Anolis sagrei: one gene and its partner. The protein of the gene in region 1 interacts with the protein of each later gene in a pairwise test. Links are inferred from orthologs where the notes say so. Each region holds a gene or a part of one and is shown in the gene's direction. Other genes may lie near its edges.

Evidence for each region.
Region 2: the proteins of POMP (region 1) and PSMB8 interact in a two-hybrid assay, tested with the Homo sapiens proteins (2 studies listed by BioGRID). The link is inferred for Anolis sagrei from reciprocal best matches to the Homo sapiens genes POMP and PSMB8.

The regions. Positions count from the first base shown.
Region 1 is NC_090023.1:31,780,701-31,790,628, forward strand, and holds the start of POMP (proteasome maturation protein), read left to right. Parts: upstream 1-6,202; 5' UTR 6,203-6,309; coding exon 6,310-6,312; intron 6,313-9,928. UniProt on the Homo sapiens protein: Molecular chaperone essential for the assembly of standard proteasomes and immunoproteasomes. Degraded after completion of proteasome maturation. Mediates the association of 20S preproteasome with the endoplasmic reticulum.
Region 2 is NC_090022.1:6,649,783-6,659,061, reverse strand, and holds the start of PSMB8 (proteasome subunit beta type-8), read left to right. Parts: upstream 1-4,620; 5' UTR 4,621-4,652; coding exon 4,653-4,802; intron 4,803-6,841; coding exon 6,842-6,989; intron 6,990-9,279. UniProt on the Homo sapiens protein: The proteasome is a multicatalytic proteinase complex which is characterized by its ability to cleave peptides with Arg, Phe, Tyr, Leu, and Glu adjacent to the leaving group at neutral or slightly basic pH.

The DNA.
Region 1 (9,928 bases):
TGTATGTCAGTAGAGTCACAGGGAAATTAGCCAAGTATGTTGCAAAGGAGATGGGAGGAATGTTGGAGATGTGAGACTTTGATATTGCATACATGGATGATATTGGATAACTGATCAATATATGGTTTGTATATAGTTATATGATGTTGGTATTATCCAAATTATTTTTGACCATTCTAGTTGATAGAAAAGTCAAAAATAATCCCTATGGGTTGGGAGGTGTGACGATGTGTAAATTTTATTCCTTTGGTTATGTGTAGTTTGGACAATGGTTTAGGGATGGTAAGTATGGGAGGTTATGTTTTGTGGGAGTGGCTTGATGTTAGCTAAGTTGCCATAGCAACGGGGGCGGAGCCAACCGCCTCTTCAGGGGCAGCTGTGTTTTAAAAATCCAGTCTGTAGCCGGTGAGCTACAGGAAGAGACTAATTTCTCTAGTGGGAGAAATAGGGAATTAGTCAGTGGCCGGAGAGCTGCTGAAAAAGACACTGAATCTTTTGGTGGAGATTCAGGGAATGTGTCTGTAGCCAGTGTGCTATAGGGAAAAACTGAATCTCTTAGAGATTCAGGGAATCAATTGGTGACCAAAGTGGTTGCAGAGAAGGACCCGGTACAGGGGGTTGTTGATTCTGAATTAAGAATCAAGGTTTGGCTGGGTTTAAGCCTGTTGTGCCAGCTGTGAAACCTTATGAAGTGTTTGCCTGAGTTTACTCATGAAACCTTTCCAATGTAACCATCAAGATTTATGCCTCTTTTGAAGAACAGTTATACATTGTTATACTCCTGTTAAAATAAACTTGTTGCTGTTTTCCTCAAGCCTTGCCTGATACAGTTTCTTCTAAGTTGAACAGCCTGCAATAATAAAGTCAGCCAGAAACAGTCCCTTTATAAAATAGTTCCTAGGCTGATATTGATCGTTGCCCGGCTTCCCTCATAGATTAGGTGGCAGTGGGTGTTTTACCACGTGCACCTTCACAATTGGTGGTATTCGGTGGCATTAAAACGGTCATCGTTACAATTGGTGGCAGCAGTTTAATAACGACACTCCTTCACAGCGAGGATGAGGAAACTGCAATTTGGAAATGCCATTATTTATGTATACACCAATTTGGGTTTATAGAATTTGCTTAGAAAACATGCAGCTATTTGACTCTACACACCACTTCTTTGCCCTACCAATGCTCTGTTTTTGTATTTAATCCCAGATGTGTTGAGTTGGAAATTTATTTACAGTATTTGTATACTGCTTTTACCACCTCTGGGGGGACTCAAAGCGGTTTTCAAAGAAATTAGGGGCATTCAATTCAGTGGGACATTCTTCCAACTGAATATGATAGGATTACACCTCTAATTACAAATGTAGCTGAAACAAAAGGGCAAGTTAGGAGGGGACTATTTGTCAAAACATCTTATTCTATTTATGTCTAGAAATTTAATGTGGAAGTCTGCCTTTAAAAGCAAATGAGATCTTTACCACAACAATACATTCCTTTATGTTATATAGCCTAAACATAAGAGATGATGTCAATAATGTACGTGTGGCGATGGTGTCCTGTCTATATCCTATACCTACAAGGATGACTTTGAAATGTAAATGTTTCATATCCTGATCGACAAACTCAAACATTTAGTAAATAAATATATTCAGTGACAATCCTGATTTTTTTTTCAACACACTGCTGCTAAACAGGAACTTTATACTTTTCTTTCAAAAATAAAATAGAACGGGATAAACTTTTTAAAAAGTTAAGTTCCTGTGTAGTGGCACTGTCCAGAAGAAAAAAATGTATGAAATTATCAGCACTAAACCAAACTAACATATGACTATTTATTACTTATAGCTATACATTGTTGCAAACATAACAGGATACAAGATAACAGGATACAAGATGTGAATGCAGAATGGTACAATGACAGTTGGAATGGCCTTGGATTTTGATATTGAATTACGTGATTTTAATAACTGGATTTTAATGTTTGATACGTTTTTAGCAGTTTTTAATGTATATATTTATTTGCTCGATGTATGTTGTGTAGCATTGAATTGTGCCTTATATGTTAGGCGCTCTGAATCCCCTTTGGAGTGAGAAGGGTGGGATATAAATATAGCAAATAAATAAATAAATACACAAATAGCAAAATGAATGGCAAAAGTGTAAAAAACATTTCTTTTAAAAATACCAGTACATGTAAAAATGATACAAAATTATCCCTTCTCCATTCAACAAAACTTCTTTTAAAAGGCCCCATTTGCTGGGGTTAGGAACACAGGGCCCCTGTAAAAGTGAAAAACCACTGTTGTATTGGAGATACAACAAAGTACCATACAATGAACGCCTATGTCCTGTGAGGACGAGACAGTGGAAACTGTGAAGCACGTTTTGTTGTACTGCTCTTTTTACCGTGACCTTCGTAAACATTTTATAAATCCAATTCTAGAAAGTCTACCAGGGAGATCTGCAAGATTTTATACAGATTATCTCCTGTCTGACTAACACCCCAAGGTCACTGTCAGGATTGCTAGCTTCTGTGCAGCAGCTATGGCTTGTTGCCCCAAGATGCTGACACAGACTTAGAAAGTTTTAACATATATTTTATCATTCATATCTTAGTATTTGAATGTTTAACACCACTTTAATTACCATATTCAATATTGGGTTTTAAACTCTGTTTTAACATTGCTTCCTGATACCCGGATGTGTGTGTAACCTGATGCTTGTATACTTCTGTACTTGTGCTTGTACATGTGTGCGTACTCTGACACTTGCACACCCTGTCACTTGTACCTTTTTTATGCTGGTCATTGGCCGTAATAAATGTATATATATATATAACCACAAATAAAGCATTGCTTTTTTTTTAACCTGAGAGAATTCTTTTCTAGGAATGGCCAAATCTGCTGAAAACTGACCATAGAATTGCACTGAAGGATTGTTGTTGTTCATTCATTCAGTCGTCTCCGACTCTTCGTGACCTCATGGACCAGCCCACGCCAGAGCTCCCTGTCGGCCGTCACCACCCCCAGCTCCTTCAAGGTCAGTCCAGTCACTTCAAGGATGCCATCCATCCATCTTGCCCTTGGTTGGCCCCTCTTCCTTCCTGAAGGATATAATAATAATAATAATAATAATAATAATAATAATAGAAATCTCTGGGGCCCTATCTACGCTGCCATATAATGCAGATTGAAATGTTATATGGGCAGTGTTAACCCATATAACACAGTTAAAACTGACCATATGATGCAGTTTCAAACTGCATTATAAGGTAGTGTAGATGAGGCCCCTGTCTTCCAGCATGACTGGAAGTAATTGACCATAAAGTCACAATGGAGGAACTCGAGATTCTTAGAAAAACAAATCCATGAATAATCAAATTTGCAAATGTGGAAATGATTGTAATGTCAACTGTCATTCAGATTCTATTTGGTGCTATTGCAAAAGTTGTAGCATGGTAGGATCCTTGGCCCTTCTCCTCAGATAACATATAGAATACTATAACAGATCACTATATAAAATATAAAATAACAGCAGAGGAGATGCTCTTTAAAATAGGGATCTAATGGACAACACATTAAACTTTCTATAGAAACTTTCTATAGAAACTTTCTATAGAGCTTTTAAAGATGGCAATCAAATTATATGTCAAACTTCTCCATGCTTAAATTATCCATCTCTTCAATCCTTTTTCATGGGGCTTGGTTTCTAGACCTTTTACCATGAGGTCACGGAGAGTCAGAAGCATCTGAACAAATAAACAACAAATTAAATGTAAATGAAAAGTTCTCATGAGATATGATGAGTCTCCACACATTTTATTACAATTTATGTATGTATCTCTTATACATGGTTGGTTTAACCTCTGGGTTGTTAGTAGAACTGAATAACTGTGTCACAAAATGATGCATGTCTAAAAAGGTGTGCCACCAACGTGAAATGTTTAGAAAGCTCTGCTCTAAAGCTGCAAATGCTGCCAGAACCAGATAAAGTGTACCCAAGGATATCAAACGAACAAATAAATAATTATTTTCAGAGCATTTTTCTACCATCTTTGCAGAACTGAGGCAGACAAATATTTTTAGCATAAAAGCGAGGAGGGAGGAGGATCTGGTGAGCAACCCTCATCCATGTAATTCCAAGACCAGAAAAGACTCCAAAAGAAGTCATTAAATTGTCAAATTGTGAGTGCTTTCTCCTCGCAAACACCTGGCCCTTCCTTCTACTCTGACAATCCTTTTTGGCATTGTCGGTGGTGACCTTACAGAAGAAACAAGAGGCATGTCTTAAGTTGCTCATAAAACGTTCCAGTCCATGGGTGCTCATAAAGCCTTCTTAAGGCGCTTATATGAAATCATAAAAGGACAGGGCACCAATCCATAATATCACATTGCACATGATCATTATTACATTTGCGCATTTCCTACATGCCTTTTAAAGATAAATAAAATTGAGACATTTCTGAATTAGGAATTCCCAAACCATGTACTGGGTTAGTGAAAACGCTTGAGCACAGGCTGAAATTCTTTATATGGTAGCTGATTTTGACTTTTTTATTGTGTCTGAAGTGAATTGAGAATACAGTTGAAATGTATAAAAAAATACAAATAAAGTTAAAAACTTGGCATTATACTGTATTTTCTTTGACCAGAAGCTGGCCGCTTTTGAGTGCCTCTGATGTTGCTGTAAGGGGTTCCTCCATTGTGCATGTTGCAGGGCTCAGACTGCATTGTAGTAAATCTGTGGTTTGCTCTTTTCCACACTCACATGTCATGGACTCCACTTTGTGGCCCCATTTCTTAAGGTTGGCTCTGTATCTCGTGGTGCCAGAGCACAGTCTGTTCAGCACCTTCCAAGTAACCCAGTCTTCTATGTGCCCATATTTCTCATTTGGTATCAGCCACTGATTGAGGCTCCAGGTTTTAGCCTGCCATTTTGGGACTTTCGCTTGCTGAGGTGTTCCTGGGAATATCCCTGTAGATCTTAGGAAGCTATTTCTTCCTGCACCTGTACCTTGAGACACCTGACTTGGCCAATGGTAGTCCACACCTCAGTCACATCCCATTCGGACTACTGCAACACTCTCTTTGTGGGGCTGCCTTTGAAGATAGTTTGGAAGCTTCAGCTGGTCCAGAAATTGGCAGCCAGGTTACTACTTGGAGCATCGTTCAGGGAGAAACCAACTCCCATGCTGTGGCAGCTCAATTGCCTGCTGGTTTTCTTCTGGGCTTTTTGTGTGTGTGTGTGTGTCAGGAGCGACTTGAGAAAATGCATTCATTGATGTGCTGGCTTATATCCAAACAGGGGATGAGCTGGAGATGTCACTGCTTTGGTCCCTTCACTATTGATTGCTACTTCCCGGCGGATGTCAGGTGGGTGAGGTGAGGTGCCAACATTTGGCAGGGAAGATTAAAGACCTTGGAACTCTTCAATTCCATTTTTTTTGTCGTGTCAGGAGCGACCTGAGAAACTGCAAGTCACTTCTGGTGTGAGAGAATTGGCCGTCTTCAAGGACATTGCCCAGAGGATGCCCAGATGATTTTGATGTTTTATCATCTTTGTGGGAGGCTTCTCTCATGTCCCTGCATGAGGAGCTGGAGCTGATAGTGGGAGCTCATCCGCCTCTCCCTGGATTTGAACCTGCGACCTGTCGGTCTTCAGTCCTGCCGGCACAGGGTTTTAACCCACTGCGCCACCGGGGGCTCCTTCAATTCCAATGGCAGTCACAGTGATGTCGGACTGCATGGATTTCACAGTCAATGACATGAAGTAGGAAAAGAAAGAAAAGAAAGGAGATTCAATCTGAACATGAGGAAGAATTTCCTGACTGTGAGAGCTGTTCAGCAGTGGAACTCTCTGCCCAGGAGCTTCTTTGGAAGCTTTTAAACAGAGGCTGGATGGCCATCTGTCAGGGGTGCTTTGAATGCAATATTCCTGCTTCTTGGCAGAAGGGGGCTGGACTGGGTGGCCCATGAGGTCTCTTCCAACTCTTTGATTCTAAGAGCTCTAAAACTTTTGCAGCAAAGCTCTGCTCTCCACCCCTCCACCCTCCTTCCCTTTTTCAGATCAGGGTCCCCCAAGTGCGCAGGCGCACGACGCCTCCAAGCCCCGCCCCCCTGCCTCTCGCGCGCACAGAAGGAGAAAGCGGGCTCTTCGTTTTCTTTTGCCCGAATCCTTGTCACGTGATACTCTCACTCACTCACTCTCTCTCTCTCTCCCTATGCGCGCGGGAGGGGCGTGCTTACGTCACCGCGCCTCTTCCCATCGCTCCTCGCAGCCGGAAGGAAGTCCTTGGTGCCTAGTGACTGTGCAAAGATGGTAAGCGGAGGGGCTGGAAGAGGGGTGAGAGTGAGTCCACATAAATACACCTGTGAGGGGAGGGGGCCTGCAAAGGAGGTGGGTGGGGTGAAGCCCCAATCGAGGGAAATGTGGGCATTCCGCCGGAGATGGTTTCTTTTTCGCCCCGGAGACATGGCCGGTCCTGGTTCGCCTCCAGTGGTTCTCAACCTGGGGTCCCCAGATATTTTTGGCCTACAATTCCCAGAAATCCCAGCCAGTTTAGCAGCTGTTAGGATTTCTAGAAGTTGAAGGCCAAAAACATCTGGGGACCCCAGGTTGAGAACCACTGGGTGGAGCATCCCTTCTTCGAAATGCTCGGGCCCACAAGTGTTTGGGATTTGAGGGTTTTTAAAATGAATTTTGGAAGGTTCTCAAATATAGTCATGAGATATCTCTGAGGTACAGTGAGGTCGCCGTCTAAATGAGAATTTATTTATTTACCACATTTATATACCGCCTTTCTCAGCCCGACGATGACTCCAGGCGGTTTACAGTCGGCAATCAATGCCCCCAACAACATAAAATATAATTAAAAACATTAACATATAACATAAGCCATATAAAAACAGTAGAAACAATAAAAACAATAACAATAATTAAACAATTAATTTTTTTTTGTCGCGTCAGGAGTGATTCCTGGTGTGAGAGAATTGGCCGTCTGCAAGGACATTGCCCAGGGGACGCCTGGATGATTTTTGATGTTTTTATCATCCTTGTGGGAGGCTTCCCTCATGCCCCCGCATGAGGAGCTGGAGCTGATAGAGGGAGCTCATCCGCCTCTCCCCGGATTCGAACCTGCGACCTGTCGGTCTTCAGTCCTGCCGGCACCCAGGTTTAACCCACTGTGCCACCAGGGGCTCCATAAACAATTAAATAAACATTTAAACAATTAAATTAATTGCTTCAAACAATTAAATTAAACAATTAAACAATAACAAGAATTAATGCATTTCCAACCTCACTTTAACTGCCATGGCTCCAAGATATCGAACCATGGGAGTTGTAGTTTTATAAGCTTTCCAGCCTTTTCTGCCAAAAAAAGTATTGGCGCCTCAGCAGACTACAAATCCCAGGATTCCGTGGCATTGAGCTCTGACAATTAAAGTGGTACCAAACTGCATTCATTCCACAGTGTAGGTCAGGCATGGGCCAACTTGAGCCCTCCAGGTGTTTTGGACTTCAACTTCCACAATTCCTAACAATCCCAGCCCCCTTCCTTTTCCCCCTCAGGCCCCATTCTTTTCCTTTTATGATATGCAGGATGGACACAGCATATTATTCGAGAACACAGAAATGCTGGATCACTCGAACAATCACCATGTCAGACTACACAGAGAAACCATTGAAATCCACAAGCATGTGGATTTCAACAGAAAGGAGGAAACCATGAAAAGGAACAAAATCTGGCTACCAGTATTAAAAAAAACTCTAAAATTAGAACAGCACAACAACAGAGAGGAAACAAACAAGGACATCTAATCACCTCTCAACAAAAGATTGCTCCAGGCACTGCCAGGCAATCAAATGCTAATCAAGGTGGTCAGTTGAAACATTCACACCTAGCTCCAGCAGACAAGAGTCCTTTGTCTCACCCTGGTCATTCCACAGATATATAAACCCTTTTTCCTAGTTCTAACAGACCTCACTACCTCTGAGGATGCTTGCCATAGATGCAGGTGAAACGTCAGGAGAAATGCCTCTAGAACATGGCCATGTAGCCCGAAAAAACATACAACAACCCTATGCAGGATGTGTTTTCATTCACTGGATCACTTAAGTGGCTGAGGGGGAAATGGAAAGGGCCTGAGGCTGTTAGGAATCGTGGAAATTGAAGTCTAAACCACCTGGAGGGAGGGTCCAAGTTGGCCCAGGCCTGATCTTAAGTGGCTGAGGGGGAAAAGGAAGGGGCCTGAGGCTGTTAGGAATTGTGGGAGTTGAAGTCCAAAACACCTGGAGGGCCCAAGTTGGCCCACGCCTGGTGTAGCAGCACCCTGAGAATGGGACACATGTCTAAACGAGACATCTATTTGAAACAAGAAGGAAAATCAATTGCTTCCAATGTAGAGGCTGGGGAAGGAGGAAGGTAAGGTTTCAAATAATAACAATAAACTTTATTTGTATCCCGCCCTATGGCCCCAATGGGGACTTACGGCTGTTCACAACATAAAATGACAGTATTCAAATGCCGTGTAATACAACTAATCAATAAATATGACATGACATAAATTTAAAATGACATAGTAAATCTTAACGTAAGCAATAACAAGACATTACCACCTAATTAAACAAAAACTAACAATACAATGTAACTCAACTAATACAAGACAAAAAGTTCTCAAATTGATAAAAATGTTAAAAGACGTTATAAATTCAAAAGGATATAAACCCAAAGGAGCAGTCATTTCCATGTTCTGAGCTCATTTATAATGCTGAATATTTAATTTGTCCTTCTCCTTATGTGCTTGCAAACATAATGATAAAAGTAAAGGTTTCCCTTGACATTAAGTGTAGTCATGTCTGACTCTGGGGGTGGTGTTCATCTCCATTTCTAAGCTGAAGAGCCAGCATTGTCTGTAGACGCCTCCAAGGTCATGTGGCTGGCATGACTGCATGAAGCACTGTTACCTTCACACTGAAGTGGTACTTATTGATCTACTCACATTTACATGTTTTCGAACTGCTAGGTTGGCAGAAACTGGGGCTAACAGTGTGAGCTCACCCTGCTTCCCAGATTCAAACTGCCGACCTTTCGGTCAGCAAGTTCATAGCTCAGCCATTTAACCTGCTGTGCCACTGGAGGCAGAAACGTTATTGATTGTTTTACTACACTTAGCTTAAAGATGACCTTAGACACGTTTTAAAATTTTTGAGAATGAAATGAAGTGTGTGTACATTAAACCATGTGAAAGCAAAGGCGTCACTTACTATCCCAGATCACCCCTATGGATAATTTCCGATTTTGGATGACCAGATAAGGGATGCTCAAACTGCAATTCATTCAGCCACAATGCATAGTACACAATTCTGCTCTTTATCTTCCTTCTTCACCAGTCTTTACATTTGCAAAAATTGATTTCCCTTTGTTTCAGTTCATACCGTCTTTTGAGCCATGCCATGTGTGAAGTTGGAGATAAGAGCGCATCTTGTGGATATTTATTTTATGATCATATTTCTCATTGAGTTGTACCTTGTCAAAAAGCAATCTGTGACTTGGGGGAGTAAGGGTCTGCCTTAACTGCTCCTTGCAATGTCACTGTAGTACTCTTTTTTTCTTTTTCTTTTTAAAAGGTTATGAGGTTTTCCTTCTTCTAGTTATGTTTTCTTCTGAAAAATATTATCAATATTCAAAATATGTGTGTATATGTATGTGTACATTTGTGTGTGTGTGCATATAATTTATATGAGATCTATATGCATATTTTCTGGAAAACTGCCCCAGAAAATTTATTTCATCAATTTTAAAGCTTATGTAGGCTGGGCTGTAAGAATTGACTACTGTTCTGGTAGTTTGGTGAGGTGTCTGTGCCCTTTATAAACATTATAGTGTAAAGAAATGTGGTTGATAAATAGTGGAAGGTATTTCATCTCTATTCTA
Region 2 (9,279 bases), on another chromosome or scaffold:
TATACTTATTTATGCTTTTGACACAAAATTACAAAAGTGACAACACTTCCTGATTCTTATTGAGCTGCTCTTCCTTGAATATTGCAAGGTTGCCGTGACAGAGAGCAAAGGGCAGCCGTATCCCAGGGAACACATTATGGGTGACGTCAAACAGCAGGAAGTTATTGGTTATGCACACTACATTAATTTTTATAGCCAGGGTGGCTTGAGTGAGATTTTCCACCTTGGGAGCCACAAGAATCAAGCTGACTTGGTGGTTGTGTGCTTTTGTGTTATTTCTGACATATGTTGACTCTAAGGTGAACCCATCACAAGAAGGGTTTCCTGGCAAGATTTCTGAGACTGAGAAATTGGGACCAAAGGCTGACCAAGAATGCAAGTCCTGGTCTCCAGAGTCATAGTCCTAGCTCAAACCACTACACCAGTGGTTCTCAACCTGCCTAATGCCGGGACCCCTTAATACAATTCCTCATGTTGTGGTGACCCCAACCATAACATTATTTTTGTTGCTATTTCATAACTGTCAATTTGGTACTGTCATGGATCGTAATGTAAATATCTGATATGCAGGATGCATTTTCATTCACTGGGCCAAATTTGGCAAAATGCCCGATACACCCAAATTTGAATGCTGGTGGGGTTGTGGGGAGGGGTATTGATTTTGTCGTTTGGGAGTTATAGTTGCTGGGATTTATAGTTCACCTACAATCAAAGAGCATTGTGAACTCTACCAATGATGGAAGGCACACAGAACTCCCATGACCAACAGAAAATACTGGAAGGGTTTCATGGGCATTGACCTTGAGTTTGGGAGTTGTAGTTCGCCTACATCCAGAGAGCACTGTGGACTCAAACAATGATGGATCTGGACCAAACTTGGCATGAATACTCAACATGCCCAAATGGGAACACTGGTGTAGTTTGGGGCAAATAGATCTTGATATTTGGGAATTGAAGTTGCTGGGATTTATAGTTGCTGGAGTGCTTTGCTGGAGTCTTTTTTATGGCCTCATAAATGAGTTAATTTGGCCTCCCCACACTTTAAGGTGGTACCTAATTTTCCTACTTGACAGATGCAACTGTCTTTCGGGTTGCAAAGGTCGACAACAGGCTACACAATTGGTTGGAAACCCACTCCAACCCGGGCTGCCTTCGAACTCATGATCTTTTGGTTAGAGTGATCTTAATGCAGCTGAAACTCAGCCAGCTGCGCCACAATCCCGGTGCTATAGTTTATAGTTCACCTACAATCAAAGAGCATTCTGAACCTCATCAACAATAGAATTGGGCCAAATTTCCCACATAAAACCCCATTGCCTTGAAGGGACTTGCTGGCCTGAACCTCCCTCCAGCCTCGCATGCTCTCCCTAGCCTGCACATGCACGCCATGTTGCCATGTGCCAAGCATGCTTGCTCTCCCCTCCCTGCTTGGAGTCTCAGAAACATCCACTCCCTTGGCTTAGTTCACCTACATCCAGAGAGCACTGTGGACTCAAACAATGATGGATCTGGACCAAATTAGCACAAATACTCAACATGCCCAAATGTAAGCATTGGTGGAGTTTGGGGGAAAAATAGACCTTGACATTTGGGAACTGAAGTTAAAGAGCATTCCGAACCCCACCAATGATAGAATTGGGCCAAATTTCCCACACAGAATTCCGATCTTTTGAAGGGACTCGCTAGCATGAGCCTCCCTCCAGCCCCACCCGCTCTCCCTCACCCCACACAAGTGCACCACGCTGCCATGCATCAAGTATTTCTGCTCTCCCCTCCCTGTTTGGAGTCTCAGGCAGAGAGGCTGGCCAATCACAGCGGAGGAGGGCTTTCGGAGGGAGAATTCGCCATCAGTTTCCAAAAGGGAAGAGAAGGACAGGCAGAGATCTCTTCAGCCTTCTCTGCCAAAGGAGTTCCTAAGACTACCAGAAATATATGTTTTCTGATGGTCTTTGGCAACCCCTCTGAAAGCTCCCTCACGACCCCTCAGTGGTCCCAACCCCCAGATTGAGAAATGCTGCTTTAGGAGGTAGGTAAAGAGGAGCTGATAATGTTAGATCTGTACTTTGTCAAGATGCCGATGGAGAGGTTCAATCCAGGAAGTCATGACTCTTTGCATATTGTGAACAGGAAGCTATGGCAGTTTGCAAAACCGGATCTTGAAGTCTCGCATTCAGAGGGTTGAAGGCGAAGATGACTTGACGGCCCGTCACAAGTACCAATGGCAAAACAATAAACATTATTACAAAACTAATGTTATTGTTAAATTCATTGCTGCGGCATGATGATGCCCTGTTGAAATTACTAATACAATTTTACATAATAAATGGTTAAATATGGAGTAAGAAAAACAAGAGAAGCCGTGTGACTTTGTGGTTTGGTCACTGAACTCTGAATACCAGAACTAGATTCTCTGCTCGGTTACGGAAAGCCCCTGAGTGAACCTTGGGTGATTCATACACTCTTGGTCCCCTGAAAAAGAAACCATGAGAAGCCAGAGAGGCACAAAAACAACTGAATTACTGAACAGTAGCTTATAGAATCATAGAATCATAGAATCAAAGAGTTGGAAGAGACCTCATGGGCCATCCAGTCCAACCCCCTGCCAAGAAGCAGGAATATTGCATTCAAATCACCCCTGACAGATGGCCATCCAGCCTCTGTTTAAAAGCTTCCAAAGAAGGAGCCTCCACCACACTCCGGGGCAGAGAGTTCCACTGCTGAACGGCTCTCACAGTCAGGAAGTTCTTCCTCATGTTCAGATGGAATCTCCTCTCTTGATAGCATGGACACCCTGATAGCATGGACCAATAGGTATAACTGTGATGATTAAAATTATGTGACTATAGGTTGAACATCCCTTATTCAGAATTCTGAAATAGTCCAGAATGCAAAAGTGTCACTAGAAGTGTCTGCGGTGGGGAGACTTTTGCTTTCAGTCCAGACCACCTTTGTTTCATGTGTATAATTATAGAATCATAGAATCAAAGAGTTGGAAGAGACCTCATGGGCCATCCAGTCCAACCCCATTCTGTCAAGAAGCAGGAATATTGCATTCAAAGCACCCCTGACAGATGGCCATCCAGCCTCTGTTTAAAAGCTTCCAAAGAAGGAGCCTCCACCACACTCTGGGGCAGAGAGTTCCACTGCTGAACGGCTCTCACAGTCAGGAAGCTCTTCCTCATGTTCAGATGGAATCCCCTTTCTTGTAATTTGAAGCCATTGTTTCGCGTCCAGAGGCGGCCCTAAGTAATTTTCAACGGTAAGCAAACAGTATTTTGGCTCCCTCCCCCCTAACCAATCATTGCTATATATTTTCTGTTTGTCGTGGGAGTTCTGTGTGCCATATTTGGTTCAATTCCATCATTGGTGGAGTTCAGAATGCTCCTTGATTATAGGTGAACTATACATCCCAGTAACTACACTTGCCGCACTTACTCCCTTGCCTGACCCGCTTTGGGTCCAGAGGCATGCCTGAAGACCCCGGCGTGTGCACCAAAAGTCACCTCTTCTCCTGACTTTCTCCTCAGCCATTGGGACCCAGAGAGAGAGAGGTGGAGGTGCCCACCTTTCCTGAAGGTAGGCACAAAAACAAAAGAGGGAGCGGAGGTGGGAGATACCTCCAGCCGGAGGGGCTCTCTCTCTCTCTCTCTCTCTCTCTCTCTCTCTCTCTATCTCTCTCTCTTGGTCCCAATGGCTGAAGAGAAAGTCAGGAGAAGAGGCGACTTTTGGTGCGCACGCTGGGGTCTTCAGACACACCTCTGGACCCGAAGCGGGCCAGGCGCGGTGGCTCCGCCCCTTGGCCCACCCGCGGATTGGGGAGAGGAGGGGAGGCGGGTGGAGCGCTGGGGGATCGGGAAAGGGATCCGTCATGGGGAAGGGATCGAACGCGGAGAACGATTGAGCACCGGCTCTGCTCGCGCACCCGGTGGCCGGGTGGAGCAGGAATGAGAGGGGCTAGGCAAGGCTCAAGGGCCCGGCCCCTTTGGGAAGAGGATCGCCCGGCAGCGAGGCAAGAAAGCCGAGACTCCCCCCGGACTGCTAGGGCTGTTGTGAGCTGAGGGAGCGCTCCTCAAGTGGCAGTCGAGGGGCATTTACAGAGGTGCCTCGGCGCCCCTGGCAAAAAAAAAAGTGTTCTGCGACGGCTTACTTCGCGTAATGGACGAGCCGCCCCTGTTCAGAGGTTGTGAGGTCTGTTGGAAATTAGCCAAGTGGGGTTTATACATCTGTGGAATAATGTCCAGGGTGGGAGAAAGAACTCTTGTATGAATGTTGCAATTGGCTGCTTTGATAAGCACTGAATGGCCTTGCAGCTTCAAAGCCTGGCTGCTTCCTGCCTGTGGGGAATCCTTTGTTGGGAAGTGTTAGGCCAGACCTGAAACAATCAGGGCCAGCTAACACTCCCAACAGTCAGGCTTTGAAGCTGCAAGGCAGAAAGATTTTGGGACTCAAGTTGCTTTGGAGTGGAGAGCTTTCGCTCCCAGATCCACCCTGAGAGATCTTGGGACCTGGGACGCAACGGAGGTTGGAAGGCTTCCTCCTACATCCTGAGACCCCCTCTCTTTCCTCTTCCCTCCCTTCCTTCCAAACCTCCTTTCGCTTTTGCTTTCACTTTCTCGGGAGCGGAGAGAGGAGAACTCAGTCGCGCGTGGGCGATGGCGCTGCAGGAGGTGTGCGGCGCGCCCTTGCCCTCCAAGGCTTGGGACTGGGACCCCCGGGAACACCTTCGGGTCTCCCCCAACGAGGCCGGGCACTTCGCCTTCGGGTTGCGAGAACCTCGCATCGCTGTGCCGCTCGGGAGGCAGGTAAGGAAGGAAGGAGGGGAAGGTGTCGGGAGCCTGATCCGAGCTCGACCTTTGAAGGGAGGGAGCCTCTGAGCGCGTGCAGAGTGCTGCCTTGGAAGCCCACTGCCTTTAGAACCCGGGAGCCAGGAGGGAAGGGTTTTAGTTTGGTGGGGGTGTGAACTTCAGGGCTTTCCCTTTCCTAAACACAGCTCAAGGGGCATCTACACAGGCATGGGTCAACTTCGACCCTCCCTCCAGGGAGACTAGGACGCAATGGAGCAATGGCTTCAAACTACAAGAGAGGAGATTCCATCTGAACACGAGGAAGAACTTCCTGACTGTGAGAGCCGTTCAGCAGTGGAACTCTCTGCCCCGGAGTGTGGTGGAGGCTCCTTCTTTGGAAGCTTTTAAACAGAGGCTGGATGGCCATCTGTCAAGGGTGATTTGAATGCAATATTCCTGCTTCTTGGCAGAATGGGGTTGGACTGGATGGCCCAGGAGGTCTCTTCCAACTCTTTGATTCTATGATTCTAGGGAGTTTTGGACTTCAACCCCCTCAATTCCTAACAGCCTGGTCCCGAAATGCTGCACCACTCTCACAACCACCATGGCAGGCTACACAAAGAAGCCATTGAAGCAGATGGACAAGTCGCAAAGGGAGGTGTGCTAAGCACCTGCTCTCCTTTTGGGTTGTTGTAGGTTTTTCTGGGCTATATGGCCATGTTCTAGAGGCATTCTCTCCTGACGTTTCGCCCGCATCTGTGGCAAGCATCCTCAGAGGTAGGGAGGTATGTTGGAAGTAGGAAAATTGGGTTTATATATCTGTGGAATGACCAGGGTGGGACAAAGAACTCTTGCCTGTTGGAGCCAGGTGTGAATGTTTCAACTGACCACCTTGATTAGCATTTGATGCCCTAGCAGTTGTTTGGGGTGGCTTGTTAGTGACCTACCTCTGAGGATGCTTGCCGTAGATGCAGGCGAAATGTCAGGAGAGAATGCCTCTAGAACAGTGGTTCTCAACGTTCCTAATGCCACGGCCCCTTAATACAGTTCCTCATGTTGTGGTGACCCCCCAGCCATTAAATTATTTTCATTGCTACTTCCTAATTGTAATTTTGCTACTGTTATGAATCGTTATGTAAATATCTGATATGCAGGACGTATTCTCATTCACTGGACCAAATTTGGCACAAATACCTAATATGCCCAAATTTGAATACTGGTGGGGTTGGGATGGGAGTTCGAAAACATGCAAATGTGAGTAGATCAATAGGTACCGCTCCAGTGGGAAGAATAACGGCGCTCCATGCAGTCATGCCGGCCACATGACCTTGGAGGTGTCTACGGACAACGCCGGCTCTTCGGCTTAGAAATGGAGATGAGCACCACACCCCAGAGTCAGACATGACTGGACTTAATGTCAGGGGACTACCTTTACCTTTACCTTTTTGGATGGGAGGATTGATTTTGTCATTTGGGAGTTGTAGTTGCTGGGATGTATAGTTCACCTACATTCAAAGAGCATTCTGAACTCTACCAATGATGGAGTTGGCCCAAACTTGGCATACAGAACTCCCATGACCAACTGAAAATACTGGAAGGATTTGGTGGGCATTGACCTTGAGTTTTGGAGTTGTAGTTCGCCTACATGCAGAGAGCACTACGGACTCAAACAATGATGGATCTGTATCAAACTTGGCACGAATATTCAATATGCCCAAATGTAAACACTGGTGGAGTTTGGGGAAAATAGACCTTGACATTTGGAAGTTGTAGTTGCTGGGATTTATAGTTCACCTACAACCAAAGAGCATTCTGAAGCCCACCTATGATAGAATTAGGCCAAACTTCCCACACAGAATTCCCATGACCAACAGAAAATACTGTCTGTGATGGTCTTTGGCGACCCCTCCGACACTCCCTCACGGTCCCTCCAGGGGTCCCGACCCCCAGGTTGAGAACCACTGCTCTAGAACATGGCCATATAGCCCGAAAAAACCTACAACAGCCCAGTGATTCTGGCCATGAAAGCCTTTGACAAAGTTCTCCTTTTCTCTTAGCCTTCAGAGTTCTTGCAGACCCACTGCGAAGGCAGTGCTGATGGGCACCGGATCGAGCTGGCCCACGGGACCACCACCCTGGCCTTTACGTTCCAACATGGAGTGATTGTAGCCACCGACTCTCGGGCATCGGCCGGCAAATACATCTGTGAGTGCTTCTGTGGACCATGGAGGAGAAAGTGTGGGTGGGTTTTAGAAAGGGGGAAGATTATGACTTTCTTTATTTCAGCTGGCACCTTGTTGGCGCGTTACAGCACCATAAATTTAACTGCAAGTGCATAAAGTTGGGCATAAAGCCAGTGTGACATGGCGGTTTGAGTCTTGGATTACAGCTCTGGAGACTTGGTTCAGAATCCCTGCTCTGGGTGAACTCTGTGCAAGTCCCACATTTTCAGCCCCAGGAAACCACCTCAGGGTCTCCATGTGTTGGAAACAACTTGAAGGCACACAACAATGTGAGTTGGATTGTGTCTTTGCTCGGTGTTTCAGAAGGAAATTGCATCAATAGGAGCATAGTGTCTAGATCTAGAGAAGTCATGCTCTCCATGCTCTATTCCGCTTTGGTTAGACCACACCTGGAATATTGTGTCCAGTTCTAGGCACCACAATTGAAGAGAGATATTGACAAGCTGGAATGTGTCCAGAGGAAGGCGACTCAAATGATAAAGGGTCTGAGAACAAGCCCTATGAGGAGCGGCTTAAGGAGCTGGGCATGTTTAGCCTGAAGAAGAGAAGGATGAGAGGAGATATGATAGCCATGTATAAATATGTGAGAGGAAGCCACAGGGAGGAGGGAGCAAGCTGGTTTTCTGCTGCCCTGGAGACTAGGACGCAAACTACAAGAGAGGAGATTCCACCTGAACATGAGGAAGAACTTCCTGACTGTGAGAGCCGTTCAGCAGTGGAACTTTCTGCCTTAGAGAGTGGTGGAGGCTCCTTCTTTGGAAGCTTTTAAACAGAGGCTGGATGGCCGTCAGGGGTGCTTTGAATGCAATATTCCTGCTTCTTGGCAGAATGGGGTTGGACTGGATGGCCCATGAGGTCTCTTCCAACTCTAGGATTCTATGATTCTATGAAATGGAACTTAGTTACTATATGGCCCAAGGAGAGCCAGCAGCATGGTTTCTGTGCATTGGTCCTGACGTATCCAAATGGACAGCATGTCCTATGACGCAGCAGAAGTCACAGAATCATAGAGTTGGAAAGGACCGCAAGGGTCACGCAGTCCAATCCTCTGGCCCTTTTGTCCTATGGGAAAACTTGAATGCCGCCTGTGTAGCACTAGAGGAAGTTTAGTATAAAGGTACTAACTTTTGCAGTCATTTCATAGGACGGCCGTCTGCCAGGGGTGCTTTGAATGTGCTTTTCCTGCTTCTTGGCAGGGGGTTGGACTGGATGGCCCACCAGGTCTCTTCCAACTCTAGGATTCTATTATTCTTTGGGTCCCCCAAAGGGTGACTGTTCTGTCACGCACTGGGTCTGAACAAATTGTCTTTATTCTATAGGACGTATACTTTAAACCCAGTGGAAGCCGGGGTGCCTCAAAGAGAGATTCTTAGGGATTTCCTGAAGTATTGGTCTCTGGAGTCTTTAATGGTACAACAAAGTCTTTATTAAGGAACAAATAACAAATCTTCAGACAACACTTCAAGGTTTTCTTATTCTAGTCTTTAAGAGACTGGCACTGACTTGGATTAACTGTACTTTCTCAGCATGAGGAAGAACCCTTTATAATCTCTCTGTTATCTGGGCCTCGCTGGTTTGGGTCTTACTACCGATCCCAAATGCGTCTGGACATCGAGTAAACCTACCAGCCAAGGCTTGAAGATACTTCAGCTGGAATTCCGTGGTTCTGTAATGCTGTCCTGTGGGAACTTCAGGGCTGTTTTCCCCTCTGGTGCTGTGAGGCTGTGTGCTCTCAGCCAGAGCCTTTGGGATCTTTTCCTTCTGTTTCTATTTCCCTGGATGATCCCCGGATGATCCTGAGGAATGAAGCTTTTCCTATGGGACAAGCTGTCTGCGTCCTATAGACTAGCTTCCTTGTGTGTGACTGACTAAAAATGGCTCCCTTCTCTTCTGAAAACCCAAAAGGGGCAGAACTAAGGAACCTAATGATGATGGACAGGTGGCCTGCCCTATAACTGCAAACTTTAACAGGAAGCCACCCTTCTGCCAAATCCCAAGCCTTGGGCTGCAAGCAAACACTTAAATACAAGGCAAATAAAGTGGGAGCTTCTGGTACAGCTGTACCAGCACAGTGACACATGTGGCCATATCAAGGCTGGGCTGCCTTAGCCCTTGTGGACCCCAATGACCCCTCCCACCCTCAGCTGCAACTTAAAATGAGACATTGGTCAAAAGGCTTTGTCAAGATTCATTGACTCTTCCAAACCCTGGGGACAGAATTCAAAAAGAGAGGAATGTTAGTCTGGAATATC